Linked DNA regions of Arabidopsis thaliana. The protein of the gene in region 1 interacts with the protein of each later gene in a pairwise test. Each region holds a gene or a part of one and is shown in the gene's direction. Other genes may lie near its edges. The genes, in order: SPL7 and AT1G55460.

The links.
Region 2: the proteins of SPL7 (region 1) and AT1G55460 interact in a protein complementation assay, tested with the Arabidopsis thaliana proteins (one study listed by BioGRID).

What each region holds. Positions count from the first base shown.
Region 1 is NC_003076.8:6,269,789-6,287,739, forward strand, and holds SPL7 (squamosa promoter binding protein-like 7), read left to right. Parts: upstream 1-6,201; 5' UTR 6,202-6,327; coding exon 6,328-6,878; intron 6,879-7,274; coding exon 7,275-7,447; intron 7,448-7,598; coding exon 7,599-7,825; intron 7,826-7,898; coding exon 7,899-7,973; intron 7,974-8,075; coding exon 8,076-8,183; intron 8,184-8,499; coding exon 8,500-8,617; intron 8,618-8,733; coding exon 8,734-8,869; intron 8,870-9,094; coding exon 9,095-9,248; intron 9,249-9,322; coding exon 9,323-9,883; intron 9,884-10,136; coding exon 10,137-10,424; coding exon of another isoform or gene 10,425-10,439; exon of another isoform or gene 10,440-10,508; coding exon 10,509-10,574; 3' UTR 10,575-10,779; downstream 10,780-17,951. Other genes in the region: SCL28 (SC35-like splicing factor 28), read right to left, coding at 312-351, 475-533, 639-803, 1,014-1,091, 1,195-1,370; Cpn60alpha2 (TCP-1/cpn60 chaperonin family protein), read left to right, coding at 1,761-1,808, 1,885-2,035, 2,166-2,287, 2,408-2,615, 2,699-2,844, 2,967-3,273, 3,355-3,605, 3,767-3,970 and 1 more; AT5G18840 (Major facilitator superfamily protein), read left to right, coding at 13,166-13,348, 13,476-13,538, 14,051-14,140, 14,236-14,295, 14,398-14,463, 14,650-14,791, 14,874-14,938, 15,027-15,200 and 8 more; AT5G18850 (Low-density receptor-like protein), read left to right, coding at 17,108-17,267, 17,345-17,484. UniProt on the Arabidopsis thaliana protein: Transcription factor that participates in reprogramming global gene expression during copper deficiency in order to improve the metal uptake and prioritize its distribution to copper proteins of major importance.
Region 2 is NC_003070.9:20,698,529-20,713,248, forward strand, and holds AT1G55460 (DNA/RNA-binding protein Kin17, conserved region), read left to right. Parts: upstream 1-8,778; 5' UTR 8,779-9,038; coding exon 9,039-10,274; 3' UTR 10,275-10,499; downstream 10,500-14,720. Other genes in the region: AT1G55430 (Cysteine/Histidine-rich C1 domain family protein), read right to left, coding at 1-1,094; AT1G55440 (Cysteine/Histidine-rich C1 domain family protein), read right to left, coding at 2,971-4,932; AT1G55450 (S-adenosyl-L-methionine-dependent methyltransferases superfamily protein), read right to left, coding at 6,746-6,810, 6,908-7,001, 7,080-7,706, 8,121-8,297; AT1G55475 (uncharacterized protein), read left to right, coding at 13,449-13,500, 13,587-13,839, 14,001-14,058. UniProt on the Arabidopsis thaliana protein: Promotes the copper deficiency response by direct interaction with SPL7. Acts with SPL7 in a common pathway to promote copper-responsive genes and alleviate oxidative stress during copper-limiting periods. May promote SPL7 function when copper is limiting.

The sequences.
Region 1 (17,951 bases):
ATTCAAGCTCTAGCTTACCAAAGCTGGTGAAGATGACATTTGGTGAAATAAGTCTTCAGGTTCAGATTTTAGGAAAAACAGACACCCTAATAAACATTTTTTCTACAAGACTTATCAACCTAGACGTGTCCAATTTGTGCCTTGTCATTGTATTATCCACACACAACTGACAGACAATCTAAGTGACTAGGAACCAGTGCCGTTTGCATTCACATGAGCGAGTTCCAAGAATAAATAAAGAGCCTTATGAAACAGAGAGTCATCATACACTATTATAACAAATGCCTAATAGATATAGATGAGAATCAAACCTTGACTCTCGCCTTGGAGGCGAACGCGAACGTGAATGAGCTGATGACAAGAAAGGACATAGTTAGTAAACATCACAGGGTACATAGGTATTGTTCTAACCATACACTGCAGTTGTCCTGAGACATATCAAAAATGTTAAAAGCAAACCAAAAAGCTACTTACAACGATATCTGCGCCTTGGTGATCTGTGTGAAGTCCTCTTGTAGTCCCCGTGTCGACCACTATATTAAACGAAATAGGATTTGGAAGTAACTAAGATAATTACTTACAAAACATTTACATTCATATAAAAATATGATACAAACACAAGAAAACGGACTCTTCACCTTGTACCGTTAGTAGTACGCATTTCTTGTGGAGTTTTCCGGTTCTCCTCAGCGAAAACAATGGCTATCTCACGCCCACCAATAACTTTGTGATTCATTCGTTTCATTGCCTCAGCTGCATCTTCAGCATAACGATACTTAACAAATCCAAACCCTCTCGGCTCCCTAAACCACAAAATAATATCACATTAAAGTTAAGAGTTCCTACTCAACAAACAACTACTTGAACTGACACCAAAAGTTACCAATCAAATTAGTCAAGAATCCATACACATTGACAATGTGACATTGTTAAGAGAAATAACCAGTAAGCTAAAGCTAAGCTAGGAAATAGCTAAAAGCATCTGATTATAAAAGACAAAGCTTGACATATACCCAGTATAATAATTCCTAGGCAGGTATATGTCCTTGAGTGGACCAAACCGTTCAAACGAATCCCTAAGATCGTTCGGCCTGAAAAACAAGAAAACATTCCAAAACTCGTGTCAATTAATCAACATTAGAGAACTTGTGATGTCCTTGATGGAATCTGAACAGTAGAGAAGGACGGAGAGACCTAGCATCGAGAGGGAGATTACGGATAAGCAAACCAGAAGGACCAGAGGATTCGTGATCACGAGAAGACGGACGTTCGCGGAGGCGATTATCGTCGTAGCCTTTCCGTTCGCGAGGTGGTGACCTGTCACGAGGACGGGGACTATAGCTTCTGCTCCGGCTTCTCGCTCTAGCCATCGAAGATTTCTCTTCCTTAGGTCTTCTTCTCAAACAAATCCAATCTTCGGAGCAATTGAATAGCAAAACCCTAACCCTGTCGGAAAACGAGTTAGAGAGTGAATTTTGGAGGGAGAGAGGAAGAAATCGACGACTGTGAAAGTTTTTCAAAACACAACACTTGCCGGAAGCTGGCTACGGTCTGACTTTGTTTGTTAATTCTTATGGGCTTTCAAATTTGCAAACTATGGGCTTATATAAATCAAAGCTTTAAAGGCTTTGTGTCAAAGTTGTTGACAAAAAAAAAGAAAAAACTCGTACCTTGACTCGTCCGGTTCCAAAAACTCGGTCACCCAAAAATAAAAATCAAAACCCTTCGATAAACCTCCCGGAGGAGAGGAGACACCCGAAATGTTCGCCGTATCACCGTCGTCATTCTCGCCGACAACCATTTCTCCGGTGAGTTACAATTCTTCTTCTCGCCTCAATTTCTTTCCCCATAATCTTCACGTTCTCTCGCTCTTGCCTCTTGTAGCGCCGTAGTGGACAGAGGAACGAACCTCGAAAATTCTCGGTGGTGAGAGCTGGAGCTAAGAGAATACTATACGGTAAAGATAGCAGAGAGAAACTCCAAGCCGGAATCGATAAGTTAGCTGATGCTGTTTCCATCACCTTAGGCCCTAGAGGTTAGTGAATTAGATTTCGATTTTGGCTACGATTTGAAGTTTTTTTCCGGGCAGAATCTGATTATGAGCAAACCAACCCTTCTCTGGGATTTCGAATTGATTTTTTTTCAATGTGGAAACCACGACGCAGGGCGTAATGTAGTGCTTGCTGAAAAAGATACAATCAAAGTGATTAACGATGGTGTCACCATTGCTAAATCTATTGAGCTTCCTGACACTATTGAGAACGCTGGAGCAACATTAATCCAAGAGGTTATTCATATTCATGGTGGCTAAATGATTCCCCTTCTTTTCCCCATTGTTAGTTCATTCTTTGAGCTCTAAATGGTATCAATTAGTTATCTGAACCTTGCGAGTTTCTATCTTGTGTAGGTTGCGATTAAAATGAACGAATCAGCGGGTGACGGGACAACCACTGCAATCATTTTGGCTAGAGAAATGATCAAAGCTGGTTCTTTGGCTATTGCTTTTGGAGCTAATGCTGTTTCTGTGAAGAATGGAATGAATAAGACTGTTAAAGAGTTGGTCAGGGTGTTGCAGATGAAAAGTATTCCTGTTCAAGGGAAGAATGATATTAAAGGTTACTTTATACTTATTACTAAATAATTATGATCCAACTCCTGTCTTAATTTTGAAATAATAGGGATTTTTTGTGTTCTGTAGCTGTGGCTTCAATCTCTGCTGGTAACGATGAATTTGTGGGGAATTTGATTGCTGAGACTGTGGAAAAGATTGGCCCTGATGGTGTCATCTCCATTGAATCATCTTCCACTTCAGAAACGTCTGTTATAGTTGAGGAAGGAATGAAGGTTAGTTTCAAACTTAAGTTGGATGTTTTAAAGGCTTCACAATGGCAGTTTCACACTTACCATTGTTAACATTATCAAACCATTGAGTTTCTGTGATTCATGAGGAAATTTCTTTTGTACAGTTTGACAAGGGCTATATGTCGCCTCATTTCATCACAAATCAGGAGAAATCTACGGTGGAATTCGACAAAGCTAAAATTCTTGTGACGGATCAGAAAATCACTTCAGCCAAAGAATTAGTTCCGTTACTGGAGAAAACCTCACAACTGAGTGTTCCGCTCCTTATAATTGCAGAAGATATCTCTGCGGAAGTGCTTGAGATACTGGTGGTGAACAAGAAGCAAGGTTTGATCAATGTCGCAGTTGTGAAATGTCCAGGAATGTTGGATGGGAAAAAGGCTTTGCTACAAGACATTGCACTCATGACAGGTTTTTCTCAATCATTTGTACTTTCCAAGTAAATTTTTACTGAAAATTTTCAGGTGATAACATGACAAATCATATACACAGGAGCTGATTATCTTTCCGGAGATTTAGGCATGTCGCTCATGGGTGCAACTTCAGATCAGCTGGGTGTTTCTCGTAGAGTAGTAATTACAGCTAATTCAACAACTATAGTCGCAGACGCTTCTACTAAACCAGAGATTCAGGCAAGAATTGCTCAGATGAAGAAGGATCTAGCTGAGACAGATAATTCATATCTTTCAAAAAAAATAGCAGAGAGAATTGCTAAGCTCACAGGAGGCGTGGCTGTAATAAAGGTCCGATTTTACAATAACCCATTCTTTGTTTATAATATGCTGCGACAACTTGGGCTTTCATCAGAACATAATTTCTACCTAAGTAAGAATAAAAAATACTGTTTCAGCTCTTGATATTTCTTTTGAGTCCTATATATCAGCTTAACCCTGTCTCAATATAGGTTGGAGGCCACACTGAAACAGAACTTGAGGACAGAAAACTAAGAATAGAGGACGCGAAGAATGCTACATTTGCAGCCATGAGAGAAGGTATAGTTCCAGGTGGTGGTGCTACTTATATCCATCTTTTAGATGAGATACCGAGAATCAAGAAGAATCTAATGGAAGATTCATACGAACAAATAGGTGCAGATATTGTAGCAATGGTATGAAAACGTAATGACAAAACAAAACATGTTTTCTTAACCATACTGGATTCGTAAAGTAACCTTTTAAGAGTGAAAAATCACTTTAATTTTTTTGTTTGCAGGCACTCACTGCACCTGCAATGGCCATAGCAACCAATGCTGGGGTTGATGGATCAGTTGTGGTGCAGAAAACCAGAGAACTCGAATGGAGAAGTGGTTACAACGCAATGTCTGGAAAGTATGAGGATCTTCTAAACGCTGGAATCGCAGATCCTTGTCGGGTTTCAAGATTCGCCCTTCAAAACGCAGTTTCCGTTGCCGGCATTATTCTCACAACTCAAGCAGTACTCGTGGAGAAGATCAAGCAACCTAAACCTGCTGTTCCTCAAGTTCCTGGCATACCCACATCATAACCAACCACCACCAAAGGTAACAAAGAAGCACAAAAACCAAACTCTCTACTGCAGATTTTGTCAGAATCTAAACCTTTGCTCACAAAGTGGTGTTTAATCTTGTTGTGTTTTAACTAAACATTAGAATCTGTGATGCAATGGTATGTGCAGAGTGAAAGAAAAAAAAGATTGTTGGAATCATTGTTGCTTATTGTGTTAGCTAAGCTAGTAGTTAGCCTCAAATTTCGGAGAAAGCAAGAAAATGCCTTGTAATGCAAGATTCTTACGCTGTAAGCCCTAGTTGAATGTGTATACGGACATCTTTTATATTATTTTCTTTTGTCAGTTTTGTGCTTAGAAAGCGTCATCAAGTCTCAATTATTATGCAATTTCATCTTATTAAACTTTTGTAGCCTATGTGGTTATGTCGAGACGTATTTGGAGTAATTCAATACATTAAGAATAAGCTCTCAATCGACAATCAGTAGTTTTTATCTCCAATTGAATTACAGAGATCGAACTCGGGTTCTTAATCTTACCAGACCCTTGTGTTTTTCCTCGGTTTCATATGTGGGTTAATGTTTAAATTGTTCATGGTGTCATCATTTATTTTTGGGCCCGGACTGGCCCATCCGAAAAGTGGGCTAATCTCCAATTTTCATAGCACATATTCTTAATACCAATCATTAACCATGTCATATTTCTGTCTGCGAAAACAAAACAAAATAAAGCACAAAAGGGTATATAGTAACTTAGTAAGCACATGGTGGATGAGACACGTGTCTATTTTCTGGTGGTGAATGGCTTGGAATGAGAAGACCAAAATTCCACCACCGTTATTATTGGAGAAAAAAAAAAAGCGAGAGAGAGAGAGCACTTGGGGTCGCTCACGTCCCAAGTAACACTGAACCGACGTCGTATTCGATAATGATTGATGAACCGTTGATTTCCTCAAACTCACGTAGCTTACACGCGAACCTCCCTTCAACCAATCATGTGCTGCCATCATTTAGCGCGTGTCTCTCACGTCCCGACACTTCCTCCTACATAGCTCAACACCTCCTCCTTGGCCACTTTTTGTTTCTTTTTTCTTTTGCTAATTATAAAGTAGGGACTCCCAAATATAAACCTATAGGCTAATTATATAACCAAGTGTCCCAAATATTGTCTCCCAAAATTTTTTTCTGTAGTTAGGGTTTTTAATTCTAAGAATTTTCTTTTGAATTCTGTTTATTATGCAACAAAAGAACGTTTCTATATTACAATTTTTTCAAGCAATCTACTTCTGGTTAATGTAAAACATAAATACACCTTTTTGGATATTATATAACAAGATGTAATAAGTTGAACCATATGCAATAACCATTCCAAAACGAGTCGATTGTGCTATCAATTATCAAACTACTTTTAGTTGTGTTAAGTTGTCATCTGTCAGAATATTTCACATCGTAAATCAAAAAATGATTTTAACATTTTCATTATGCAAAGATAATGGATCTTTCAGGATTTTTATCAATTAATTTTGAATTAAAACATTCTTTTAAAAAAAAAAAATAGTATTAGTGCTATTTGTGAAATGATGAATTTTCGGATTTTTGTCTTTTGCCGCAAAGAATTTTTGAATTATATAAGTTAGGCAAGAAAAAAAAAGAATATGTGAATAAACTATTAAAGCACGATTAACTAATCATGATTGTGTTTATTAGTTCAACGAGTTCTCTGTTGATTGAGTCATTCCACAGATAAAAAAAAAATGTAGACTATTTTAGATAATTTATTTTATTTAGTTCCATAAAATAACTCAAGAAATAAAAAGTTTTGAGATGTCAAAAAAAAAAAGTAATGTAAAAATGCATTATTCGGAGATGTTGATGACTTTGTGCAAAATTACCTAAAACCTTCAACCAAAATCACCAACTTCCTCAACAACCGATGGACCTTTCAATATTTCTCTGAATTTTATCAGAAATTGAAGACTCTCAGATGTCTTCTCTGTCGCAATCGCCACCACCGCCGGAGATGGATATCCAACCCCCGGCATTGGTTAACGATGATCCTTCCACTTATTCCTCCGCTTTATGGGATTGGGGAGATCTCCTTGACTTCGCCGCAGACGAACGCCTTCTCGTCGATCAAATTCATTTCCCTCCCGTTCTCTCTCCTCCTCTACCGCCTCTGATTCCGACGCAAACTCCGGCGGAATCTGAATTAGATCCTTCTCCGGAAGAATCGGGTTCTGGTTCGGATCGGGTTAGGAAGCGAGACCCGAGGTTGATTTGTTCCAATTTCATTGAAGGTATGCTTCCTTGTTCGTGTCCTGAGCTTGATCAGAAATTGGAAGACGCCGAGCTTCCGAAGAAGAAACGGGTTCGCGGCGGGTCGGGCGTGGCTCGATGTCAGGTTCCGGATTGTGAAGCGGATATTAGCGAGCTCAAAGGGTACCATAAGAGGCATAGGGTTTGTCTCCGTTGCGCTACCGCCAGCTTTGTTGTGCTTGATGGAGAGAATAAGAGATACTGTCAACAGTGTGGAAAGTATGTTACTTTTCTTGGCTTTGAGAATAAGAATTGGATTTGATAGGTGAATCCAGCGGGAACTGTCTTAGTTAACCTCCTATGCATCCTCCTGGGATTTTTGTGTGTGTTTGACTTAGGTGTTGTTCAGATTTGATTTGCAGCACAAAATGATCGAAGATCGGGATGGGTTTCTGTTGTCTGTTTGATTGGGATAGAGACTTTGAATCTATTGTTAAGAAATTGGATAACTTTGGGAGAGACTGTTGATCAGTTTGAATGATCCCACGGAATTTACTTAGTCTCTTTGTTGAGCATAAGCTGAGCTTAACTTCTGTTTAGCAGTATTATTGTTTGTATTAATTCTTTCAATCTATGCTGTTATCCATCATTATAGTGAGTAGTACTATCTGGCAGGTTTCATTTGCTCCCGGACTTTGATGAAGGAAAACGCAGCTGTCGGAGAAAGCTAGAGCGTCACAACAACAGACGGAAAAGGAAACCTGTAGATAAAGGAGGTGTTGCTGCAGAACAACAGCAAGTGCTTTCACAGAATGATAACAGCGTCATTGATGTTGAGGATGGAAAAGGTATAAGTGAACTGCGCAAATCTCAAATCATATCACCATGTGGTTTCTTTGTTTTAGTTGTTTGCTTTGCATATTTTGCTAGTTACCAACGTTTAGAGTTCTCTTGGAAATTCAAGCTGATTCGATTGTCAATGCTATCATTTTGAAGCAGATATCACATGCTCTAGTGACCAGAGAGCTGAAGAAGAGCCTTCATTGATTTTTGAAGATCGGCATATTACCACTCAGGGTTCTGTACCTTTTACCCGAAGCATCAACGCAGACAACTTTGTCTCTGTTACAGGTTCGGGTGAAGCTCAACCAGATGAAGGAATGAATGACACAAAATTTGAACGTTCACCTTCTAATGGCGACAACAAAAGTGCTTACTCAACTGTGGTGAGTTTCTCTTCAGCCTCTAACATCAAAAACATCGGTGCACTTAATGAACTAATTTCCCATTTCATTGCAGTGTCCAACTGGTCGGATCTCTTTTAAGCTCTACGATTGGAATCCAGCGGAGTTCCCACGGAGACTACGTCATCAAGTATTCTCAAGAATTATATATTACAGTTTAGTGTTCAAAGACTATGTTTACCTTCTCAGAATCTCAAAGAACTAATATCTTGCGATTAATTTGAATTTGCAGATATTTCAATGGTTGGCCAACATGCCTGTTGAGCTGGAGGGCTATATCCGCCCAGGATGTACAATTTTGACTGTCTTTATAGCAATGCCAGAGATTATGTGGGCGAAGGTACATCCTGTTATCTTTTACTCATCATTTTCATGTTCATGATGCCGCGACACAACATAAGAAATTGTTTATTTTCAGTAGGTTGTAGTCTCGAGATATGCTCTATTTCTCTATGCACCTTACCCTCTTAAGTACCATATACACATTAAAGCTCTTACGTTTTTGTGTGACCTGAAGTTCTTTTGTTACTAAAAATTGTCCATTATTTGGAAGCTTTTGCCCTGGAGGGAGAAAATGCAAACTTAGTATCTCTTCCCGTGAACTCTCTTTTGACTTTGCACTGTAATAAACTTTTCCAATTTGTTCCTGTAAACAGTTATCTAAAGATCCTGTGGCATATCTGGATGAATTTATTCTTAAACCTGGAAAGATGCTGTTTGGAAGAGGCTCGATGACTGTCTATTTGAACAACATGATTTTCCGTCTTATTAAAGGCAAGTTGGTGTGCTTTACTTGTTTTCTCTGGATTTTTTCACTCTATCATATTGGATAACCATAATGTCGTGAGCTATTAATGTGAACTAATACTTATTTGTCTTGGTTTTGACAGGTGGAACAACTTTAAAGAGAGTCGATGTAAAATTAGAGTCGCCGAAACTTCAGTTTGTGTATCCTACATGTTTTGAAGCTGGAAAACCAATTGAACTCGTTGTATGTGGACAAAACCTTCTGCAACCTAAATGCCGGTATTAATGTCAACCCTTTTTTTGAGCTATGCTTCAGACATCTCTCGCATTTCTAGTTCTGTCTTATTTCTCATATGAGGAAGCTGATATTGCAAGAACTTTCAAAATGTTGCATTTCGATTACTACCCATCATTTGTTGGTTTGATTTTTATCACTTGTGATTACTAAACTGTTCCATATACGAAAGAAAAACATGCTGCTTACAGATAATGGTTTCATTGTAGGTTTCTCGTGTCTTTTTCTGGGAAGTACTTGCCACATAACTATTCTGTTGTACCTGCACCGGACCAGGATGGGAAGCGTTCTTGTAATAACAAGTTCTACAAGATCAATATTGTGAATTCTGACCCTAGTCTCTTTGGCCCTGCCTTTGTCGAGGTACCCATTTGTTTGATGATATACAGTTTAGAAGTAGCTCATTTCAATACGATCCTCATCTAATCCTTTTGTAGGTTGAAAATGAATCTGGCCTATCAAATTTCATACCTCTAATTATTGGAGATGCAGCTGTTTGTTCCGAAATGAAACTAATAGAGCAGAAGTTCAATGCTACACTCTTTCCAGAGGGACAAGAAGTTACTGCTTGCTCTTCTTTGACTTGCTGTTGCAGGGATTTTGGGGAGAGACAGAGCACCTTTAGTGGCCTCTTGTTAGATATTGCATGGTCGGTGAAGGTACCCTCTGCAGAACGCACTGAGCAACCTGTGAACCGATGTCAGATAAAAAGATACAACAGAGTGTTGAATTATCTGATACAGAATAACTCAGCGTCGATCTTAGGAAACGTACTGCACAATTTGGAAACTTTGGTGAAGAAAATGGAGCCAGACAGTCTTGTTCACTGTACCTGTGACTGCGACGTGAGGCTTCTACATGAAAATATGGATTTGGCGAGTGATATTCACAGAAAGCATCAAAGCCCTATAGAGTCAAAGGTGAATCCTCCTTCGTCAGGTTGCTGTTGTGTGAGTAGTCAGAAGGACATACCATCAAGAATATTAAACTTCAATAAGGTTTTTCACTATTATCTGACTTCCCCTATTTTCCTGTTTGATCTATACTGGACTCTGCCCACAATCTATACTTGTCTTGCACATTTGGTTTCTTGCTCCACTCCTGAGTGCTGAACACTAACTTTTGTGTGTTTATGGTATATTTGGCACATTGTGACAATATTACAGGAGTCTGCGCACAATATTGTGTCTGTTTCTTGGTTTATTTGCATAGTTTCTGTTATTTAATGTTTGCCATTTATTATGTTTACAGGATCCTGAAGCAGGATTAGATTGTAAAGAGAGAATACAGGCAGACTGTTCACCAGATAGCGGCGGAAAAGAGACTGATCCTCTGTTAAACAAAGAGGTTGTCATGAACGTAAATGACATAGGAGACTGGCCAAGGAAGTCGTGTATAAAAACGCACTCAGCTTTAGCATTCAGGTCCCGTCAAACTATGTTCTTAATCGCTACGTTCGCTGTCTGTTTTGCTGTCTGTGCGGTTCTCTACCATCCAAACAAGGTCACACAGCTTGCAGTGGCAATCCGAATGAGATTGGTACACAAAATTTGAATATAAGTTCAACGGCAGAGACTCTCATTAACGTGTGTGCATCAAAAAGCTCGAAGAGAGCTGTAAGAGTGTTCAACAGAGCTCAGCCACAACAGCTTCTCAGAGAGTTTCCCTTCAGAAAGAGACAGGATATGATCAGATGAGGTCTTGCTCTTTCTGTGTGTTCTTCTTCCCAATTTCTATAAGACCGGTGATGCTGCAACTGTAATAACAAGAAATGCTCAGATCAGTGATTAATTATCTCTAGTCGAATAGTGTTTTATGTATATTAGGGTTTACTTTTGCTCACTGTAACCTGTTTTTTCTTTGTTTCTTGGTCTAAGAAATGATTCTTGAACAAATCCTAATCGTAACTTTATGCAATTTTCTACTTCAAGCAATGTCTTGGCTCTTGAGATCTCTCTAAACTCTGTTTGGTCACCTCTATTATCAAATGTTATCTTTGACTTTTCTTATTATTATTGTCAGTCCAATAGATTAACTAGTACTCAAGTAGCATAATAATTTGAGATGGTTTTATTCTTTTCTTCTCTTTTTGAAGTACAACTGTATTAAGATGCATGTTGGATTGAGAAATCGGCACTGAGATTGATTGCAACATAGAAGGCAAATGGGTAGAAAAAGACAAAGAAGATGAGATTTGAAAACAACGAAGAGACACACATATAAGGAAATGCGTCAGTTCTGAGTCATATATTTTGGTAAACGACAACATTCTAACATTTTATTTATTTGCTTTAGATGTATTCACCTTTCTTTAAACGTATCAAACGCTAGCTTTAACGTGCTAATTTAAACATAGACTAATCTATTTTGCCTTTAAAAGTTTGCTCAAACTTAGAAGCATTTCTCTTTAACAAAAGAAAACTATTAGAGATTACTTGGACGTATGCAAGATACAATCTCAATTCTCACCGAAAAAGTTTGTACAAGTTCATTTCACTTTTGCAGTCATTAGTTAGGTTAGTATTTTTCTTTAAATATATGCATGCTACGCGTGGTTGCTGCGTTTGTTCAACAGCTAACGTAGAGAATTAAATTGCATTTTTTTTTCATTTTTTTGTCGTAGAGAAATTGCATTTTAATTACGTCTCATTACCTTTGACAAAAAAAAAAAAAAATACGTCTTGGAGATACTTTTTATAGATTCATTTCAGTTTGTCAATTAGTTATTATGTTATTATAAATAAAAAAATGTAATAACACCCTTTTTTCCTCAAATGTAATAACACCTTATATTTTTCAGAAGAGAAAAATATAATGCTGAACTCATCATTATACCCGCACACCAAAATGAGTGATGTCATGCGTTCAAACATATGATTTGGTACATCAAAATAATGTCCGACCGTACGTGTACATATAATATTGGAAAATTTAGAACTTGCGCCAAACAACACATCACATGATTCATTGAACAAAATGATATGCACATGACTCAAATGAGTTGTACGATAGCCTAAAATCACTGTTTTAAAAATACGCAAAACGGTTATATCGATTTCGTTTGTAATTACAGAAGGAAAAAAAATCATCTTGGAAATGTGCTTTAATTAACGGAAGGTACAGTTTAGTTCATGTTTATTAATTTGATGATCTAGAAGTAAGATAACCCGTCGGATTAGAAAAGTCCATGCATGAAATCCTACCAACGGCATGAACATAACGCATCCACAAATATCTTTAAAGACGAATTTTGATACGATTTTGCCTTTGTTCAGAACAATTTAGAGGTTAGTAGTGACAGTAGTTAGATATTACAGTATACAAAATTACGTAATAAATCATAAAAAGAAACCAATAAACATGTACAAACAAATCTAGTATATAAGTACATGTGGACCCAAAAAAAGCAAGCAAATGTGGACAAAATATTGCTGAAGCTCGTACATGGGTACATGATCGCAATCACTATGGCTAGTTTGGAAAATACCCACATGGTAAGATATCAACATGAAATCCGAAATCAGTTTCAAAACAATTTTTATAGATTTATTGTCAGTGCCGGCTGAGATGGTAAGGCAGGTGCGACAGCCGTATAGTACTTTAGTGACGAGTAAAAATTAAAGTTTGTAACCCTTCCAAAAAGGTATTAAGAAAATTGTATGATCAATTCGATCTTTAAAATAACATGTTTTCCATTTCATGAATATCAAGACTTATAAACTTTTGTTGTTTTATATAAGTTGATACAATTGTTTTAATTTTATGTAAAATAATAATGAATTACTTAAACGTGAAAAACAACTTCATATGTTTTGTTCGATGTATACAGTTACAAATTACATTGAATCTCACAAGAAAGGAAAGTCGTAGTATTATGAGATTACATTACTTGAAAGATTAGATATAAATAGTAATAGTAATGTAAAAGAACAAGGAAAAACTTATTAGGTAGTAAAAAAGAAGAGAATGAAGTGGAGATGACTAACTCTAGGGGTAAACATCAGAGCCAAGTCAGTGAGAGCTTCATCACAGTCCCCACATGAGAACTATTTTTGTCAGTATTAATCTCAATCATTATCGCATTTAATATTTCATTAATCTATTTTGCCGTCGAAGGACAAATATTGTAAAAATCTTCGTCCCATGTCGAGACTTTACATACATCTATTACCTATAAATACCTAATTCACGAACCAAAGTACTCTTCACATCTATCTCTTTCTCTCTCTTTCCTTGCAAATTTTCAGCTCTCAAAGAGTTAAGAGTTAGAGAGAGAGAGGATGGCCATTAGGGAAATCAAAGATGTAGAGAGGGGTGAAATAGTGAATAAGGTAGAAGATCTTGGGAAACCATTTTTGACTCATGAAGATGATGAAAAAGAGAGTGAGAATAATGAATCATATTTGATGGTTCTCTTCAGTACTTTTGTTGCTGTCTGTGGCTCCTTTGAGTTTGGCTCTTGTGTAAGTTTTTGCCTATAGCGAGAACACTCTCTTTCAATCCGAAGTTTCCTTTATAGTTGCCAGCCTCTGTCTTAATTAATTCACCAAACTATTTTCTCAGATTTTCTTTTGTAATTATTTGTTAAAGGTTGGATACTCAGCGCCTACTCAGTCATCTATAAGACAAGATCTCAATCTCTCCCTTGCAGAGGTTTGTGTCTATACTTCTGGCTGAACCAGAGTTTCTTTCCTGAACTCTTTTATCAACTAGGATTTTTCAAAATTTTAAACTTACAATATTTTAACTTCCGGGGAAATCACAAAACCGCGGTCCAAAAAATGGAAGGAAACAAAAAAAAAATGTACGGTACTCCGGCGTGTTTGGTTCATAAATTCATGTAATTAGACTTGCAAATAATATTGCTTTGTCGAAATTTTGGACATCTAGCTAATATTTGTGATTTTCGGTAACTAATACGAAAGAAACATAGTTATACTCTTGCAAAATGATACTAATGGACAAACATTGTAGGTTGTCTAAATTACATCTTTAGCTACAGCAAAAAATTTACACATAGCTAGCTATCTTTTTACCTATTTAGTTAATATGGCTGTGCTATATGGACCAATTTTATTCAACTAATCCCATTTAACTATATATATTTTTACTACAAATTTACAGTATATAGGAGATCATTTTTGTGTGTTGTGTGAAAAATGCAGTTCTCCATGTTTGGATCCATCTTAACTATCGGTGCAATGCTTGGTGCTGTTATGAGTGGGAAAATTTCAGATTTCTCCGGCCGAAAAGGGGTAAATATATCTTGCCAATCCTTGTAAACTTAAGGGGCCAATAATACAACTAAAAAATAAAAAGCAATGCTTATATATGTCAAAACTCATTTCAGGCAATGAGGACATCAGCTTGCTTCTGCATTACAGGTTGGCTCGCTGTCTTCTTCACCAAGGTAACACAGAAACTTATTTTCAATTATTTTGCAACACCGAAACTACATATGCTGAAATTAGTATAGATTTTGATCTTAATATGATGTTAAAATGTGGTGCAGGGGGCATTGTTACTTGATGTAGGAAGGTTCTTTACAGGATATGGAATTGGAGTTTTTTCTTATGTGGTAATTTACTCTCTTTTTCACCAAGTAAATCTTACATAATAACTCTAGAAGTCAACATTTTATGTAGTAGTCAAAGATAAAGCAGTGTGATTCTAATTCTACTGGTTTTGGCAAATTATTTTGATATTTATGAACCAATGTTTATAAAACTCTCAGTCTCCAAAGTAACTGAATGCAACAAATCAGGTCCCTGTGTACATTGCTGAGATATCTCCCAAGAATCTCCGAGGTGGACTCACAACACTGAACCAACTCATGATTGTGATCGGCTCATCGGTTTCTTTCTTGATCGGATCTCTCATTTCTTGGAAAACTCTTGCCCTAACCGGTAAATTTCTCTCTGTTTCTATGTTACTCTTTATAGAAATTCCCTTTGAAAACTGATCAAAATATGTTTTTTGTCTTCAAAGGACTTGCTCCCTGCATTGTTTTGCTCTTTGGCTTGTGCTTCATACCCGAATCTCCTCGATGGCTGGTAATTTTCTATCTGATTCATGATTTTTATCGATCTTTTTTAAATATAAGTATCCAAAACATGATCTAAATATTTCATTCTCTTGCAGGCAAAAGCAGGCCATGAGAAAGAGTTTCGCGTAGCCCTGCAAAAGCTGCGAGGAAAAGATGCAGATATCACAAATGAAGCAGACGGTATTCAAGTCTCGATTCAAGCTCTAGAGATTCTTCCAAAAGCAAGAATCCAAGACCTTGTGTCCAAGAAATATGGTCGATCTGTCATCGTAAGTTTAACTAAGAAGTCAAAAACATAATTTATCAATCTTTTGTATATATTTGATTCATTAAACTCATGTGTGATCGAATGTTCTTCAGATTGGTGTTTCCCTGATGGTATTCCAACAGTTTGTTGGAATCAATGGGATCGGATTCTACGCAAGTGAAACGTTTGTAAAAGCCGGTATATAAGATAGACCTCGATATCTTTTCTTGTATCAGAACCAAGTAAAGTTAGATTCTAACATATGTGTTTAAAACACTTGCAGGATTTACCTCTGGGAAACTAGGAACAATCGCTATCGCTTGTGTTCAGGTGGAGAAACGTTTTCGCTTCACTCGATAACTCTATGATGATCTGTACTCTTATTAGTGTTTAAACAGATTGATTCCTTTTTAACAGGTGCCAATAACTGTTCTTGGAACAATCTTGATAGATAAATCTGGACGAAGGCCACTAATTATGGTAAAATCTTTGAGTCTACGAAATGCGCTTTCGAGTCAAAAGTTTCAATTTTATAACATGTACAAATGTTGCTGCAGATTTCAGCTGGTGGTATCTTCTTGGGATGCATACTCACAGGCACATCTTTCTTACTCAAGGTCCGTATCATTAACCCTAGCTCAACCCTGTTTTCACTTTGAAATCGATTAATCTGTGCGTTAAAGTCAAGTTGTCACATCAAATTATTATATTTTGGATTCAGGGACAGAGCTTGTTGCTTGAATGGGTCCCTTCCTTAGCCGTTGGAGGTGTACTTGTAAGTAAAACTTAGTTGGTTCTTACTTTTTACCAAAAACAGAACTCAATATATTGTCTGAGCTGAGGTATGTTTCTTGTGTAATACTATAAATAATCTCTCTTCTTCACTATTTTAGATCTATGTAGCTGCTTTCTCCATCGGAATGGGACCTGTTCCTTGGGTGATAATGTCTGAGGTATGTTTCCTTGTGTAGAAAGCAACCTTATTTTGAAACAGATTTGTTACTTTTGTAGCAAGTAAATTTGTTTAAAAACAGAGTCAATGCTTTTAGAAGAGTATACTGAACTGGTGCTCTGTTTTTGGGGATGAAACAAACACAGATATTTCCGATAAACGTAAAGGGAATCGCAGGAAGCTTAGTGGTACTAGTGAATTGGTCTGGTGCTTGGGCTGTTTCTTACACTTTCAACTTCCTCATGAGCTGGAGCTCTCCAGGTAAACACTCTTTAAGGGCTTGTTTGGGGAGAACAGCGTGTAATAACCGCAAGAAAACCACGTTCCAGAAACGCTTAATTGAGTTTTTATTTGTGTAGGTACATTCTATTTGTACTCGGCTTTTGCAGCTGCGACGATAATATTTGTGGCGAAGATGGTGCCAGAGACGAAAGGGAAGACACTGGAAGAGATCCAAGCTTGTATTCGAAGAGAAACATAAGAAGAAAGATACAATCAATGTTATGGGAATGTTATCAAATGAAAAGACTCGAACTATTCCCGTTGGTGAGCTCAAAGTGGAGTAGAGTAAAAATTATCGCCGGGAGATAACGTTGAAAGTCCGATGATGAGGCATAAGGGTTTTGCATGAATGTTATGAGAATAGGTTTACTTTTATGTATTTGTTCACGTTTTAAGTTTTCATCAAATAGGTTTTTGATTGGTATACAGTATGTGGAATATTAATAGAATGGAGTGGCAGATTTCATATTCAATCATTCTACATGCTTTCAATCAAACCAAGTCCGTGAGATCAATACATCAAAACCCTCTAGATGCTCTAGAGGCTCCTTGAATTACCATAATACTCCTATCTTCTCGAATGTTAGTTATGTTGATGACGTGGCGCAATTTCTATTTATATTAATTTGTTTTTTTTTTGGAATTTGAGTTTTTTCTGTGTTCTCTGGATTGGGATCACTGGAAGAAGATTATCAATGGCGTCTCCATCATCGTCACCGACAACAAGAATCTGGTTCCGTACAGTGATCTTAATCGCTTTAATGGTGGTTCTCTTCTACGTTGGCCGTCCTCTCTACTGGAAGATCTCTGCCACAATCCACGACATCCGCCACAACAAACAATCCGTCAGAGAAGGTAAAACACACACACACACACACTCTATCTCTCGATGGATTTCTTGAAATTTCCCGATGAGTTTTTTTTGGATATAGGTATTTCTCAGATCGTACACGAAGCGCAGAGATCAGTGGGATGGTATCACGACGAATCGGATTCAGGGTTCCGAGAAGGTCACAACAAGAAATCGGGAATCGCCGTCTCTCGGAGGCTTCTTTTCGCCGGAGATCAGTGAGAAATTTTCTCCGATCCAAATTTTCGAAATATCAAGTTCTGATGGAGTCTCTTGTTATAAATTATATATTTCATGTTTTTAGGTCAACAATTAGCGTATCGTTTTGTGATGATAATGTTAAATCGGTTAAACAAGTTATGGATTTTGTTTGGCATATAGACTTTTGTAGATTTGTGAGCTTTTTGCTATTGAGTTGAGATTTACTCATTTAGTTTGTTCTTTGCTTCTTTTGATGTTTTTCTTTTCTTAAGTGAATGTGATCAAATTGATTTGAGCGTTGTTGTTTTGATCAATTTTCATCAAACCACTGTCTTATGAGCAGCTGTTCTGTCGAATTAGAAACAAAGAGTAAATTTGTTTCAAATAATGTATGTTGCAAACTGACAAAGCGGAAGAACTCATTTACTAGTATTGTAATCCACCAAAAAAATGAAATGGAGAATGAAAAACTGTTTTTATCAAAATCA
Region 2 (14,720 bases), on another chromosome or scaffold:
TGCTCATGATGACTGAAATGTTGAATTGTGTCCTCATCAATCTTCAGGAATGGCGGTTCGATATACTCCTCGGGTTCTTCAGGCACTCCATCAAGATCTATTCCATCCCACACGTCTCTCCATGTTGCACATTTCGAATGGATAGCATATTGGCATCCCTTATCACAAGAGTATTGCCCGCAGTTAACGTCAACAGTATGGCGACAAAGTCCACAAGAGAAATCACCAGGTTGAAGGGAGGAAGTGAGAGAGAGACGATGTGGGTGTCGGGTGATCTTAATGACACGAGGTAGATAGATACATGATCTGTGGACCATAAGGCTGCAAGGTAGACAAGCGTAAACGAGATCGTCGGTGTCTTTGTTTAGAAGAAAGCCACAAACATCGCATGGCCAAGTGATTCGCACAAGGAAGAGGGTGAGGGTGTGCTCATGAAATTTCAAGTGTGAGATAGTGGTAGGTGGTGGTCTCATCGAGCAAGTCAAGTTAAGATTGAACTTGCAGGTAGAACAATGATAATATAGCTTTTCTAAAGGAGAAGCACAACATTTGCATTTCAGGTGATTTCCATAGGACAAAGAGGCACCATCATTATAAGCGACAGCATAAATATCGCCACCGCCACCGCCATTATCGTCATCATTAGGAACAGCATCTTCATCATCGTCTTCATTAGCAACAGCATCATCACCAGCGTCTTCATGATCATAGTCAACAACTTCGTTTATCAACTCTTCGGAAGATTCCTCTGAAGCGGAGCTGTCCCTCCAATTTTGGTGTATGATAGAAGCATTAAATTCAGGATCTAAGGCGGTGAAGGTGAGGGGGTGAGAGGGATGAAAAGCGCTTCTGATCTCCGGCAGAAAGACGTGACAGCCTCTGTGAAATTCCAAATTGCAAGTAGCACAGTAGTAATAATACTTACTGCGCTTCAAGTGTTTGCCTTTGCACGTAAAGCAGATAGAAAGTGGAGGATGAGTTGGTTGTCGCCGTCGGCAAAGCTTGTGGGGCTGAGCCGGATCGGACAGACGACATGGAGGTTTAGTTCTAGTTAAATAAGGAGGTGGCACAAAATAAAGAGGGTGTGGTTCCATATCGGGTTTCTTTGGAATGAAAGAAGAAGCAAATCAGATAGTAAAAATCAGGTTTTAGCTCATACATCTGTCTGCTCCCAAATATGTCCTTTTATAACATCTGCCCAGAGTTAAAGACCAGTTCCAATGTATAAAGTCAACTATTCAAGTCTCTTGTTCTCTCTCTCTATCTATCTCTCTTAGCATCTCTATCAGTAGTCTCTCATATAGTTTCTCATTAACTAAAAAATATAAAATAATAATAAAGTAGGTGAGAGATAGAAGAGAGATTGAGAATAGTTTTTCTGCAGAAAAACTTTAGAGTAATGATTGAGAGACTATGTGTATATGTGTGTTTATAATTGGACAGAAGCTAAATCATAATAAAATATCATTTTTTTTTTTTTAGAAACTTTTGAAATATCTCACCAATGGAGATGATGACCTTAGTCCAGCTGTAGTGAATAAAAAACTAGTTCAGGCTTCGAGCCAGCCATAACCTAAGCACGATTATGAATCCTACATAATTAAAGGAACTTTAAGAATTATAAATGATTGGTTATTATTAAATTTTGTTAAGCCAGAAGAACCACAAGCATTTGTTAGCTACTATATCTAATTAATCAACTAGCGGTTAATAAGACTAACTCTCCTCTTTTTTTTTCTAATTACTTTCTTAATAGAATGTGACAATCTAGGTCCAGCTGTGCAGTTAATTAAGAACATGTTGTTTTCTTAGTAAATCATATATAGACGAAAGACAAAGACCAACGCCTCAAAAAAAGAAAAACAAAGACTAACACTAAAATAAAACAAAGACCAAAACTTTCCTTTTTATGTTTATACAATAAACTAGCCAATATTAGAATTAGCCTAACTGATAAACAACTTTTTAAGTTGGAATACAAAAAAAAAAACAAAAAATATATAGAAAGCCAAAGAAGAAAAAAAAACGACAATATATAGATTAAAAAAAGTTTGCAATTTTTTTCCACAAAAGGAATTCTTATTTTCTACAGCACTTCCTTGATGCAAAATTTATAAATATCTTAGTCTTTTTTTTTTTTACCTTTTCTTCTTGACCATAGAGGAAATTAACGAAAATTTTAATTTGTAAAATGTAAACTCAAGTACGACAAAGAAAAAAAAATGTAAACTCAAGCCATCATAAGGTGAATTTTTTAAAAATGTCTACAAAAAAAAAAAGGTGAATTTATATTTTTTTTTATCAATAGCATGCATTAAACCATAATCAGAGCTGCTAACTAATGAGGATTGTTTTAATAAGACAAACAGTTGTATAAGAAACCGATTCATTTGGATATATAGATGATTAAACAATCGGATTATTATTATTGTTTTTTAAAGTAGACAAAACTTGATCCCTGCATTAGCCTCACTACTTCGTGGCTATTTGTGTACATTTACAGCTGTTTAATTTAGTTGATATATGATCATAATAGTCAACCAATATGAATAATTTTTTGTGTACTTATCACATAGTTGAGAACTGTTATACGTTACATTAACTTCTCCCGTTAATTTCGAGAATCTATCCGACTCTCCCTCACAAATGTCTCCCACAACTTTATCACATCCGCCATGACTTGGACTATAGTAAAGTATGTGGTGTGGAAAAAGCAAGAATGAATGACAACGTCTCTATAAGGACTCTACTTATATAACACCTAAAGATATAATAACAGCAAAGTGATCTTGATAGACTCCAAAACCAAAACGAGAACAGAATTTTATCATTTTCATTTTCATCAACACAAAAGAAAAAAAAGAAAACAAAAATAAAATTTAACACCAAAAGATTAAACCCTAAGAAACGTGTATTCGACGAAAGCCCTGAAACACATAAGATGCGCTGATCACAATGTCTTGGCTACCTTCAATTGAGACGTCCAAGGCCAAGACCTTTTCCCATACAATTAAGAGTGCAATACCATTTGTATCCACGTATCATCTTGAATGCCCAAGCCTGTGCACAATGAAGATTACATTCAGAGCAAATCAGCCGAGAGTTACCATCATTGTGAACAATTTCAACTTCATCACCATCATCACCTATTTCGAATATATGGCCGGGCTTCATGTACATATCTTTTCCAAGTAAACAATCGATATGTAAAGTGATCATACAAGAGTCACATGTATAAAACCAGTCATCTGCATTTAATTCTGATTCACATATCTCACACCAATATTGACCACTTGTTGTATCTTTTTCGTCACCGTAGCAAAGTGTGAGTAGATGCCTATCGTGCTTGTAGTAGGCCTCACAAGGAAAACTAGCACATGTCATACCCAAAAAGGAGTCGTCGCACTTAATACATTCTACTGCATAGGATGAACAAAGGCCCGGCCCATGTGAGCTGAGCATACGTGCCTTGGTCAAGTCGGTTCGTGGTCTACACCCAATGCAATAACCATGGGTCAAGTTGAAGAAGAGATCATGTGGATGACAGCCATGAATTAAAGGATCTGGAAGGGAAGCGCATCTGACGTCTATTTGAAACTCACAATATTCCTCACCGCATTTGTACACGAAACCACAACTTAATCGGTAGCAAGCTTTACATTTGAATATGTCTTTGGCAGCAACTGTATTAAAATCGAACCTGGAGATCCCACCAATCGGGAAGGGGTGGAGGGTAAGTGGGTGTTTATGTATTGGGAGGTATTTTTTGCGAGGAAGAGAAGCACATGCTTCGTCGAGTACAAAATCACACTCCATACAACCATAAAATCTCCGAGAGATTATAATTGGAATCGTGCATGCAACACAATACTTGTCTTTCTCGCAAATGGTTTTCTTTTCTTGGAGCTTCAGATAATGTTCATGACTGAAATGATGAATTGTCTCCACATCAATCCTCACAAATGGCTCGATATCTTCATCAGGTTCTTCAGGCACTCCTTCAAGATCTTCTCCATCCCACACGTCATTCCTCGTTGCACAATGCGAATGGACAGCATAATGACATCCCTTAATACAAGAATATTGCCCATAGTTAACGTCGACGGTTTTGCGACAAACTCCGCAAGAGAAGTCACCAGGTTGAAGGGACAAAGTGAAAGAGAGTCGGTGTGTGTGTCGGGTGATCTGAATGACACGAGGTAGATAGATACATTTTATGTGGACTGTGTGGCTGCAAGGGAGACACGTGTAAAGGAGAGTGCTGCGTGTGCTTAGAGACAAGCCACAAGCATCACATGACATAGGGAGTCGTGTACAGAAGAGGGTGAGCGTGTGCTCATGACTTTTCATGTGTGAGATAGTGAGAAGTGGTAGCATCATCGAGCAGGGCAAGTTGAGATTGAACTTGCAGATAGAACAATGATAATATGTCTTGTCCAAAGGTTTGTTACAACATCGGCAGCTCCTGTGATTTCCATCGGATAAAGAGGCATCAACATTAACATCAGCATCAGCATCACCATCAATATCAACGCTGCCATACGCATCATCATCACCATCAATATCAACGCTGCCATCACCATCACCATCACCATCACCATCACGATCATCATCATCACTATCATCATCATCTGTTGATCCTTCTGAACCGGAGGAGCCATCCCACCAACCGTTGCGTGTGTTTGAAGAGATGAGGGTGAGAGGGTGAGAGGAATGAAAAGGGTGTCTTAGATTCGGCGGAAAGAGGTGACAACCTCTGTGGAACTCTAAATTGCAAGTTGCACAGTAGTAATAGTACTTTCTGCACGTTAAATTCTTGCCTTTGCATGTAAAGCAGATAGAAAGTGGAGAAGGCCGTCGTCGTCTGCAAAGATTGTGGGGCTGAGCCGGATCAGACACACGACATGGGGGTTTAGTTCTAGAATACACCATATGTGTTTCTTTGGAATGAATGAAGAAGCAAATGAGAGAGAATGTAAGTAATGTAAAAGGTTTTCAACTCATATATCGTTCTGGTCTCGCATTTGTCCTTTTAAAAGATCTGCCCAGAGAGTTAAAAGACCAGTTCCAATATAAAGTCAACTACTCAAGATTCTTGTTCTCTCTCTCTTAATCCAGCTGGATCTGAGAGAAGACAAAACTAGTTCAGGCTTCCAGGTAAACTAAGCACGATTATATGAATCCTACGTAATTGAAGGGACTTTAGAAATTAGGCAAGATTAATTAAAAACTTAAAATCTAATTTTCAAAAAAATATGAATTTTGGGGCCTATTTCTAAAGAAATGTAAATGTTGGGGACCTTTTTGTAGTAAGAAAAAAAGACCCTAGAGGCCTAGACACATGTTTCATCTCGCTCGCCCAGAGACTAACATAAATACCAAATAAATCATATATATGAAAGAAGTCTAACTCTCTCCCACAACATGACACCTCAGCAATCCAGCAGTTGACACATCAGCACATATTTTCATATATTTACAAAAAAATCATTAAAAGTAATTAAACGTAATTTGCTCAAACTTTTATATAATGAATCAATTAATGACATTTCAGTTTTACCTCTTTCGTCTCCTTCCAAATTCCAATTCATCCCCTTCGTCTTCTTTTTCGGAATCTTACTCGCCAATCTTTCCAACTTCACATTTTGTTATCTATTTAACTCAAATTTGTAATAATTTTTTAAAATTCACCTACATGATTAGATTGAAGATACAGAGACATGGTTAATAAAGTCATGTTATATTTTTAGTTTAAGAAATATATTTTCTAAAATTTCACCGTCTCACAATCTAAACATATAACAAAAAAATAGGGATATATAAATTTTAAAAAAAAACTGAGAATCTAGGATAACAATAAAAAACAACTCAAGCACATTCGTTTTTCAGATGAACTAATATAGTTGGACTTTTCAAAAACAATTACAAATCATATTTATGTTTTAAAACCGATGCATTCAACTTTATTTTATATGAACAGACATTATATAAAATAATTTGTAAATAGTAATACATAAACCCGCACGTAGTGCGGGTACTCATCTAGTATATTTTAAAAGTACGTATATTCCATAAAATGGCGCAATACAAAAATCTATGCCATTCATAAAAGGTACTATATTCCCTAATATACGAGACCACGACAAACAATTTTACCAATGTTTGGAGATCTCCGTTGAACTTACCTCCAATAATCAAGTCTCTGTAACATAAATCCTAGATTTAATTTAGAAGCACTAAAAATTTTGGTCACTCGTTAGATCAAATTTCAAAAGGCTTCTAAATTCTAATCATAGGTTTGACTTTTAATTTGAGTTTAGAGTTGTTTTGGTATTAGGCGAAACGTATCAACAAATGGCCCAGATGTAAGTTGCCCATATGCTAATTATAAGAAATTGATCATGTCCTTGACTATATTACAGAGTTTTGAGCCGTACAAGTTGGGCTTAATATATAATTTCTTAAAACCCAAGAACGTGTGAGCATCTATTTATGCGCGTACTCAGCGAAAAACAAAAGAACACTTGTGAGAATCTATTTTCTTTATTATGTGGATGCTTGTACTTTTATTTTATCCCCTTGAGTCATGAATGTAAGAGTGTTGGGTGACTCTTAAATCTTTAGATATTACTTAACCATCTCATATCAATGACATAAATAAATACATGACAACATGTCAACATGTAAAATAAAAAAGATTTCATTCACTAGATTCAGAAAACCGTTTCTTTGTCCTTCAAAGGATCTAACTGTTCTTCCTTGCAGAGTAAGCACAGTAAGCCGCCACTCCAGCAAATGCAGCAGCAGTCACTATAATTTAACAACACAACACAACCCAATTTGGTTAATTCGATTGACATTGTTTAAATTGGAGATAAAAACAATGAAAAGATTTCAGAAAACAAACCTGAAGCAATAACAGCCGAGTTGTTATGATCCTTTAGTGTTGTAACTACGCAGTTCGTATCAAATCTCTTTCGATGCCGCTCTATATCTGAAGCCTGCATTATATATAAATAACGAATGATTCATTTATACCAAAACTATATAGATATTAATTAAGTAAATGAATTATTTACCGAAAGTTTTCCAACAATCATATGAGCTTTGTAGAAAATATCTTTAACATCATCATCATCACCCCAAGCATCTTCAAATTTGGAGATCAAATCTTCAGTCACAAGCTCAACTCCACGTTCTTTAGCTTTCATTGCGGGCTGCCACGATCTCAAGAAACCGATAAACCCTTTAAGCGATAGCTTATGAGGAATGTCAAGCATTATAGGCTTCCCTTCTGATCCCATCCCTATACTTTCAAACGGAAACGGCAACGTTTTATAACCGTCGAAAGCAAGATTCATTACAGGAGTTCTAAACGGGAACGTGGAGTCCACAAGACGTTTCATGATGGAATCAACTTCAGGAGAGATGATTATGTCGTTGTAGACAAAAACTGCGATTAATCCTCCTTCTTTGCGAAGAACACGTTTTGCTACGTTGTAGAATGGTGCGAGATCGAAGTAGTGAACGGCTTGTGCTGCCACGATTAGATCAACGGAGTTATCTCCGCCGACTAGAGCAACCATTTGGTCTTCGGACATTGTTGTGGGAGTGTGATGGTAACTGATTCTTTCGTGTTTTACCGCTCGTTTTAACTGTGCTTCGTTTATGTCGGTTGCTGTAACTTTCTCGAAATACTCTGCAAGCTGCAATTAAATTAAACCATGGTAAATGTTGATTAACATTTTAGGTGAATAGTACAATGACAAATACCATTACAAATTTGAACCAAACAAATTTTTTGTTTAATAATTATAAATGAGGTAGATTAGTAACTTTTATTTTCTCAAAATAAAACAAGAGAAATCATGTTCTCAAAATGTGAAAATGTTAATAATTGGTACTTCATTCATAATCATCACTAACATTAGACGTTAATAGTATCGATTGAGATAAATCTATGCTCTAATTAAATCATAAACTCATTAGAAAGAAGCCATTCATCTTCTTCTCTCCTCTCAACTAAAGCTAATAAATCCATAATTGTGTTCTTCTAGAGGGATTAAAACGACATCGTTTGAGAGATCTAAGTGAAGCAGAGTACATAAGAAAGTGGAAACTTTTGGAACAAGATGGAAGAAGCTTACACCAATAGCTGCTTGACCGTTGCCAGTACCAACATCCCAAGCTGATTTGTGCTGACCGGTTCGAGCAGCAAGTTTCGTGAACCAATCGATCGGATATCTCGGCCTTGCGTTCTGGTAAGCATCCGCTAACTTATCCGACAAGGCAGCCATTGTTTTTTTCTCTGTTTTCTTGTTCTTGTTGTTCTATTGCTTTGTATCTCTGTATTGGTCTATGAGAATTAAGTCACTCATGTGTTGTTGTTATATACTGATTGTGGTTTTTGCAGTAGATGAGAAGAATGAGACCAAGTCAAGTTTTCAAAGTCAGCTCTGGCGACGAGTCTACTCCTTACCCCCAAGAATTGGTCCCCTCTTCAATTTTCCAAATCATTTGAATTTATTTCTTTTTTGCTACTCTCGTTGTATATAGTTGACTTTTCTTGAATCTCACTTGTCACACAACTACATTATCTTTTACGATTCTCAATCAATATATCTCTAATAATAGTATTCTGTTACAAATAGGAAATTAATTCAATAAAAATGCAAGATTCAATAATTTCCATTGTGAAAGACTGAAAGTCAAAGATCACAAGATATAAGACCAAACAAGCTGTTAAAATTATTTGAGGCATATATTATAAAGTTGTAAATTTACCTTTTTTTTTCCCCACAATTTACATTTCTTTTCTTATAGGCCCAGTATTGTATGGGCTTTAATTGATGGGTCGTATTCGGTATTCAGGATAAACAATTATATTTGGTATGAGTTTCGGTTTATCATCAATCAATATATTAGCTAATCTTCGCCGATTGAATCTTCATCATTCTCGATCAGTGGTTGTTACCTGAGAAACCCTAGATTTCAATTCCCAACACCTTAATTTTGTTCGACAAACCCAAGAAGATTCGATGGGTAAGAACGATTTTCTAACCCCAAAGGCGATTGCGAATCGAATTAAAGCCAAAGGACTTCAAAAGCTTCGATGGTATTGTCAGATGTGTCAGAAACAATGCCGAGACGAGAATGGATTCAAGTGTCATTGTATGAGCGAATCTCACCAGAGGCAGATGCAAGTTTTTGGGCAGAATCCGACTCGTGTTGTCGATGGTTACTCTGAAGAATTCGAGCAGACGTTTCTCGATCTGATGAGGCGGAGCCACCGTTTCTCTCGTATCGCTGCCACTGTTGTCTACAATGAGTATATTAACGATAGACATCATGTTCACATGAATTCGACGGAGTGGGCGACGTTGACGGAGTTTATCAAGCATCTTGGGAAAACTGGTAAGTGTAAGGTTGAAGAAACTCCTAAAGGTTGGTTTATTACTTATATAGATAGAGATTCTGAGACTTTGTTTAAGGAGAGGTTGAAGAATAAGAGAGTTAAGAGTGATTTAGCTGAGGAGGAGAAGCAAGAGAGGGAGATTCAGAGACAGATTGAGAGAGCTGCTGAGAAATTGAATGGTGGTGGTGGTGAAGGTGAAACCAGTGGTAATGATGAAGTTGTGGATGATGGTGATGATGAGAGGAAGAAAGATGAAGACTTGAGGTTGAAGAGTGGGGTCAAGGTTGGATTTGCTCTTGGTGGAGGTGTTAAACAGGTTGCTACGGGTAAAGAGAGAGGGGAAAGCTCGAAACTTTTGTTTGGGGATGAAGAGAATGACAAGGTTGAGAGAGGGGAGAAGAGGAAGAGAAGTGGGGACTCCGGGAGGAGCGAGAAGGAGAGGAGATCAGCTTTGGATGAGTTGATGAAGGAGGAAGAGAAGAAGAAGGAGAGGATGAATCGGAAAGATTACTGGTTGTTCGAAGGGATCATTGTGAAGGTGATGAGTAAGGCTTTGGCAGAGAAAGGGTATTATAAGCAAAAAGGTGTTGTGAAGAAAGTGATTGATAATTATGTTGGGGAGATCAAAATGCTTGATTCTAAACATGTGTTGAGAGTTGATCAAAAGGAGCTAGAGACTGTGCTTCCACAAATTGGAGGGATGGTGAAGATAGTGAATGGGGCATATCGTGGTTCGAATGCAAGGTTGTTGGGTGTGGATACAGAGAAGTTCTGTGCTAAAGTGCAGATCGAGAAAGGTGTCTATGATGGAAGAGTCATCAAGTCCATTGAGTACGAGGACATATGCAAACTTGCTTAGTTATATCTTTTAGACCATATCGGGTTTTACGATGCCTTGTATTTCTGCTTGAACCTCTTTTTTTTATATACAAGTGAAGCACTCTGTTTCCTGATAGCTAGCCGCGTTAAAAAGGTACTGCAGATGAATCTATTTCACACATGTTATTCGATCTGGTTTGTAGAACGAATTGTTTTATGTATGGCTACTGTGTAGTATCTTCGAGAAATCTTATGATGTTTTGAATGTGCGTTTGCAAACGAAGCTTGAATAGTAAACTCCAAGTACTGAGATGAAATGTCATGAAAGGCATGAAGTTAAACACATAGGCAGCCTAACTAGAATATTAGAAATGTTGCATTCGACATTTTAATAAAACCAAGTTATCCATTAACTTCTCTACTATATAAGATATCTTTGAAATTGTTCTCTGTTCTTTCATCTTTTCATTCTCTTATTTTTCTCGGTTCTCTTTTCTTTCTTTCATACAAACATATCATATGTAACAAGTTATTCTATAAGTTAAATCATATAAAAAGGTTTGAGTTTCTTTTGTCTTATGATTTTAGTTTTTACCATCGAAATTATTGACCTAAACAAGTTCATAAATTTGGCGATCTAATTAAGTAAAGAAATTTCAATAAATGTAGGAGACTAATTTTTTTTCCCCCCCACAAACACTATTTTATTTAAGTAATCGGTAATAAACTCTCCGCTAGAGAAAGCCATTCAGGAACCGATGTGCTTTCATGGGAGAAAAGACTTTTTCGATCCCGAGCTTTTTTAGCTAAACAATCATCTCGAACAGTAAAACTACGAAGAAGAAATCTAATATGAAAAGAAGAAAAAAACAAACTAAAGATCGATAGGAAGCCAATTCCGCTGCGAATGTCGGCTAATCGTCTTGGTTGTCAATGATAGAAATTAGGTCTGAACAATCTGAAGCAAAAGTACCAGAAGTATTGCTAATAGAGATCATGCATCTATTGCCCATAGCAAAAAGTCAAATTCTGCATGAAACGGTGATAAGCTTCGATGAGTACTCTTGATGCCAAGATGGAGGAGTAAGTCTTGTCCAACAAGGACTCATCCAACATGCCAAGTAGCATCAAGTTGACATTCAGGGAGCTGGGTTAGCGGGATTTGAGAAGAACTTAGGGGAGGAATTGAGCGTATGGGTGCATCTTCTGCTAGAGTTGCTTGTTTCCAAACATCTGCCTCTTGAAGAGCCAAAGTTAAAGTTTCAACAAGAGGTTTTCTAAAGTTCTAGAAGCGATTTCTACTTTTTCAGATATACCAAAGTATCCATGGAAAGAGTTCCAACACTTCTTCTCCGATTCCAAATTCCCGGCCACGCCAAAAAAGAAATCGAAATTATAGAAAAGGGACTTTCTAGGAAAAATATTCTGTGAGGTAGGAATATGCGATAATGCTCAAATCTGTCTCGAGGGTGGACAATGAAACTGGAGATGGTTGATAGTCTCTTCTGTTTAATCTGCATCGGGGGCAACCTTTATATGTACCCTTGTGACGATATGTCAATCTTTGACAAGTGGCTAAACAACCAGAGATACATTGCCACGCGAAATGCATAAGTTTCCGCGTAGTTTTAAGCTTCCATACTTGTGCTTGAAGTGCTGAAACACCTGGTCCCTGAAAAGGGGGGTCACAAGTAGGACGAGACATGTCACGTGCGGCCCAATATCCTGACTTAACAGTACAATTACCGGATTTAGTATAAGACCAGCTATAACCATCACTCAAGTAGATACCGTTTGGACGAATCTCTGAAATGAGGTGAAATATCAACGGGGTCGATCAATGCTTGGAGACGGTCTAGTTTCCACAAATTTTGTGTTTTGGTCGATTAAACATTTACATAGAGTAGGGGATCTCTTATGTTAAGAATGCTCGTCGCGGACCGCACAAGGATGGTGGGAATCCATGGATCTTCTCATACACGGGTCAGCATTCCCGAACCTATGGTCCTCCGAAGTCCCGAGACAAGAAGAGGTTTGGCAGCTATGATGCTTCTCCATCCAACAGACGGACGATTTGAGGCTCCTATATGTAATGGATCACTATATCGAAAGTATCTCCCCCTCAAGACCCTACTCAAGAGAGAGTTTGGTACCCAGATAAGACGCTACCGTTATTTAGCTAAAAGAGCTAGATTAAATTCTTCTAGCGTTCTAAAGTCAAGATCGCCCTCAAAGTGTGGATTACAAAGCTTATCTCATACAATCCAGTGGATACCATTACTATTTTCATTAGTTTTTTACCAGAAATTTGCAATAACACTATTCAACTTTGAGCAAATAGCCTTAAAAAATAGAATGCACAACATAACATATGTCGGAAGGGCTTGTGCTATAGATTTTATAAGAACCTCTTTACCTTCTTTGGACAAGAATTTGGCTGACCAAGTATTAAGTCTTGAAACTTATCTCTCACAAATAAGAAAATTTGGGTTTAAAATAGGAAAAAACTTGGGTTTTAGGTAGGAGAAAACTTGACCAAGTATCGACCACTGTTCTCATAATAAATGTAGGAGACTGCAAACAACAAAAACAGTGGCAACTAATTAATTGGGCAGGACTAGGAGGCAAATCCACAAGTCTTTAAAAAGCAATTCCTTTAGGTAGGCACTGAAAAAGCAAACCTTTTTTTTTTTCTTCTTTCCGGTTGGTCCACTGTTATATAAAGCTTGGTTGGTTCTTGACTTGGTTGTCAAAATCCTAAATCCCAAATAAACAAACAGAGAAAAAAGGGAGAAATATTTAACAACAGTAGGAGTCTACAAGTCCACGGCTTGATCAATTTGTTCTTCATCTATTTCCTTATTCTCAGGGAAATCCAGGGTTTTTGAATTCGTACTCTCTCTCTCGTTGTCCCTCTCAAATCAGAAAAGTATCTGCCTTTTTTAAAATTCATTCCCCTTCGATCTTTGCTTTTTCATCGCTGATTGTTCTTAAAAGGAATCTCTACTTTTTCAATAAGCATTAACATTGTCCGTTTCCTCATCTTTGGTTCTTCGATTCTCTTAAAGAGGATTTTATACTTGATTCTGTTGAAGCCCTTTTTCTGGGGTTTTGTCTGCGTTTGTTTCCTTCTTCTAATCCAGAATTAAAACTAGCTCTCTGCGCTCAAAGTTTTAAGTTTTATTCAAAGAGGTGTAAGCAAATTCTCCAATTGATGATCAACTGTTTAAAAGACTCAATACATGTTTTGATGAGTGTTTTGCTTTGTAAGATCCAGTGTCCCTTTTTTCTGTTTCATCTGGAAGCCATTTATATGTGGCAAGTTAGCTGAAGTTGAAAACTGTTGTTTCAGCCACTAGTGATGATGATGATGATCATGAAGAGATTCTCGAACATGTGGATGGTCTTACGAATGCTGAGGATAGAGAAGAAGTAGATGCAAAGGAAGAAGAAGGTCAAATTGTTGGGGACACTCTCACTCTCAAAAGTAGTCTTCGAAAGGTTGATTCAAATTCAACAGAAGCTGAGAAGAGGGAGAAGAAGAAGGTACAATGGGTGGATGTGATTGGGAAGGAACTTGCTGAGATTCGAGAATTTGAACCTAGGTTGGTCTTCTATTGTTGAGAATATAAGAATGAGTTTGGTCATAAGGATTTTTTCTGATGGCATCAGATTTGTTTTGGTTTCTTTTCATTAAGAATGAGTTCTTTAAGTTTTCATAAGTACTTGTTTTGTGGAGAATGATGTGATTCTTTCATTTTTGCAGTGATGAAGATGATATTGATTCTGATCGAGGCAAAACCTGTGTTTGTATTATCCTGTGATCCGTCCACTTAAGTTTAACTGGGAGATTTAAGGCAAAAGACAAAGTTGGTGGCTTCAGCATTAAATTCCATATACATGGAGGTACATATAGAATCTGCATTTGTGTTCTATAGCCATTCTTAAGTTTGCACGCTTGAAGCCATATGATGATGATTCCTGATTTAACACGGAAGCATTCTTTTTCTTCTTCTTTAGAAGTGTTTAAAGTATAGGTCTTTAACTTCATTCGTTGCTTCAATCATTTAATGAAGTTCTTTCTCATTCAGATTGTGGAGCAAGTTTCAAATATAACAATTGCTATGCATCGATATCTAGTTCTGCGATTTAGTTCAAATGACTTTGATATCAGTGTGTTTGATCAATGTCTAAGTGACAGCTTACTTCAATTTGAGAGAAAACTATTGCTTGTTGTCTTTCACGCAGCCATTGTTTACATTTATAGTAAGAATTTCTGTATAGATATTGCTCTTGGTGTGTTAGCATAATTCTGTCAAACTCGAATCAAATGTTATCACTATTATATTTGGGTGCAAAAACAGCAAGTTTGATAGTGCAGACTATATCTCAAGGCTTAGGCTTTGGAGCACTTCTGTTTTCAATTTCTTCCACTTTACCAGAGGCTCAGTGAATTCCATCAAGAATGTGAATAGATCTGTGGTCC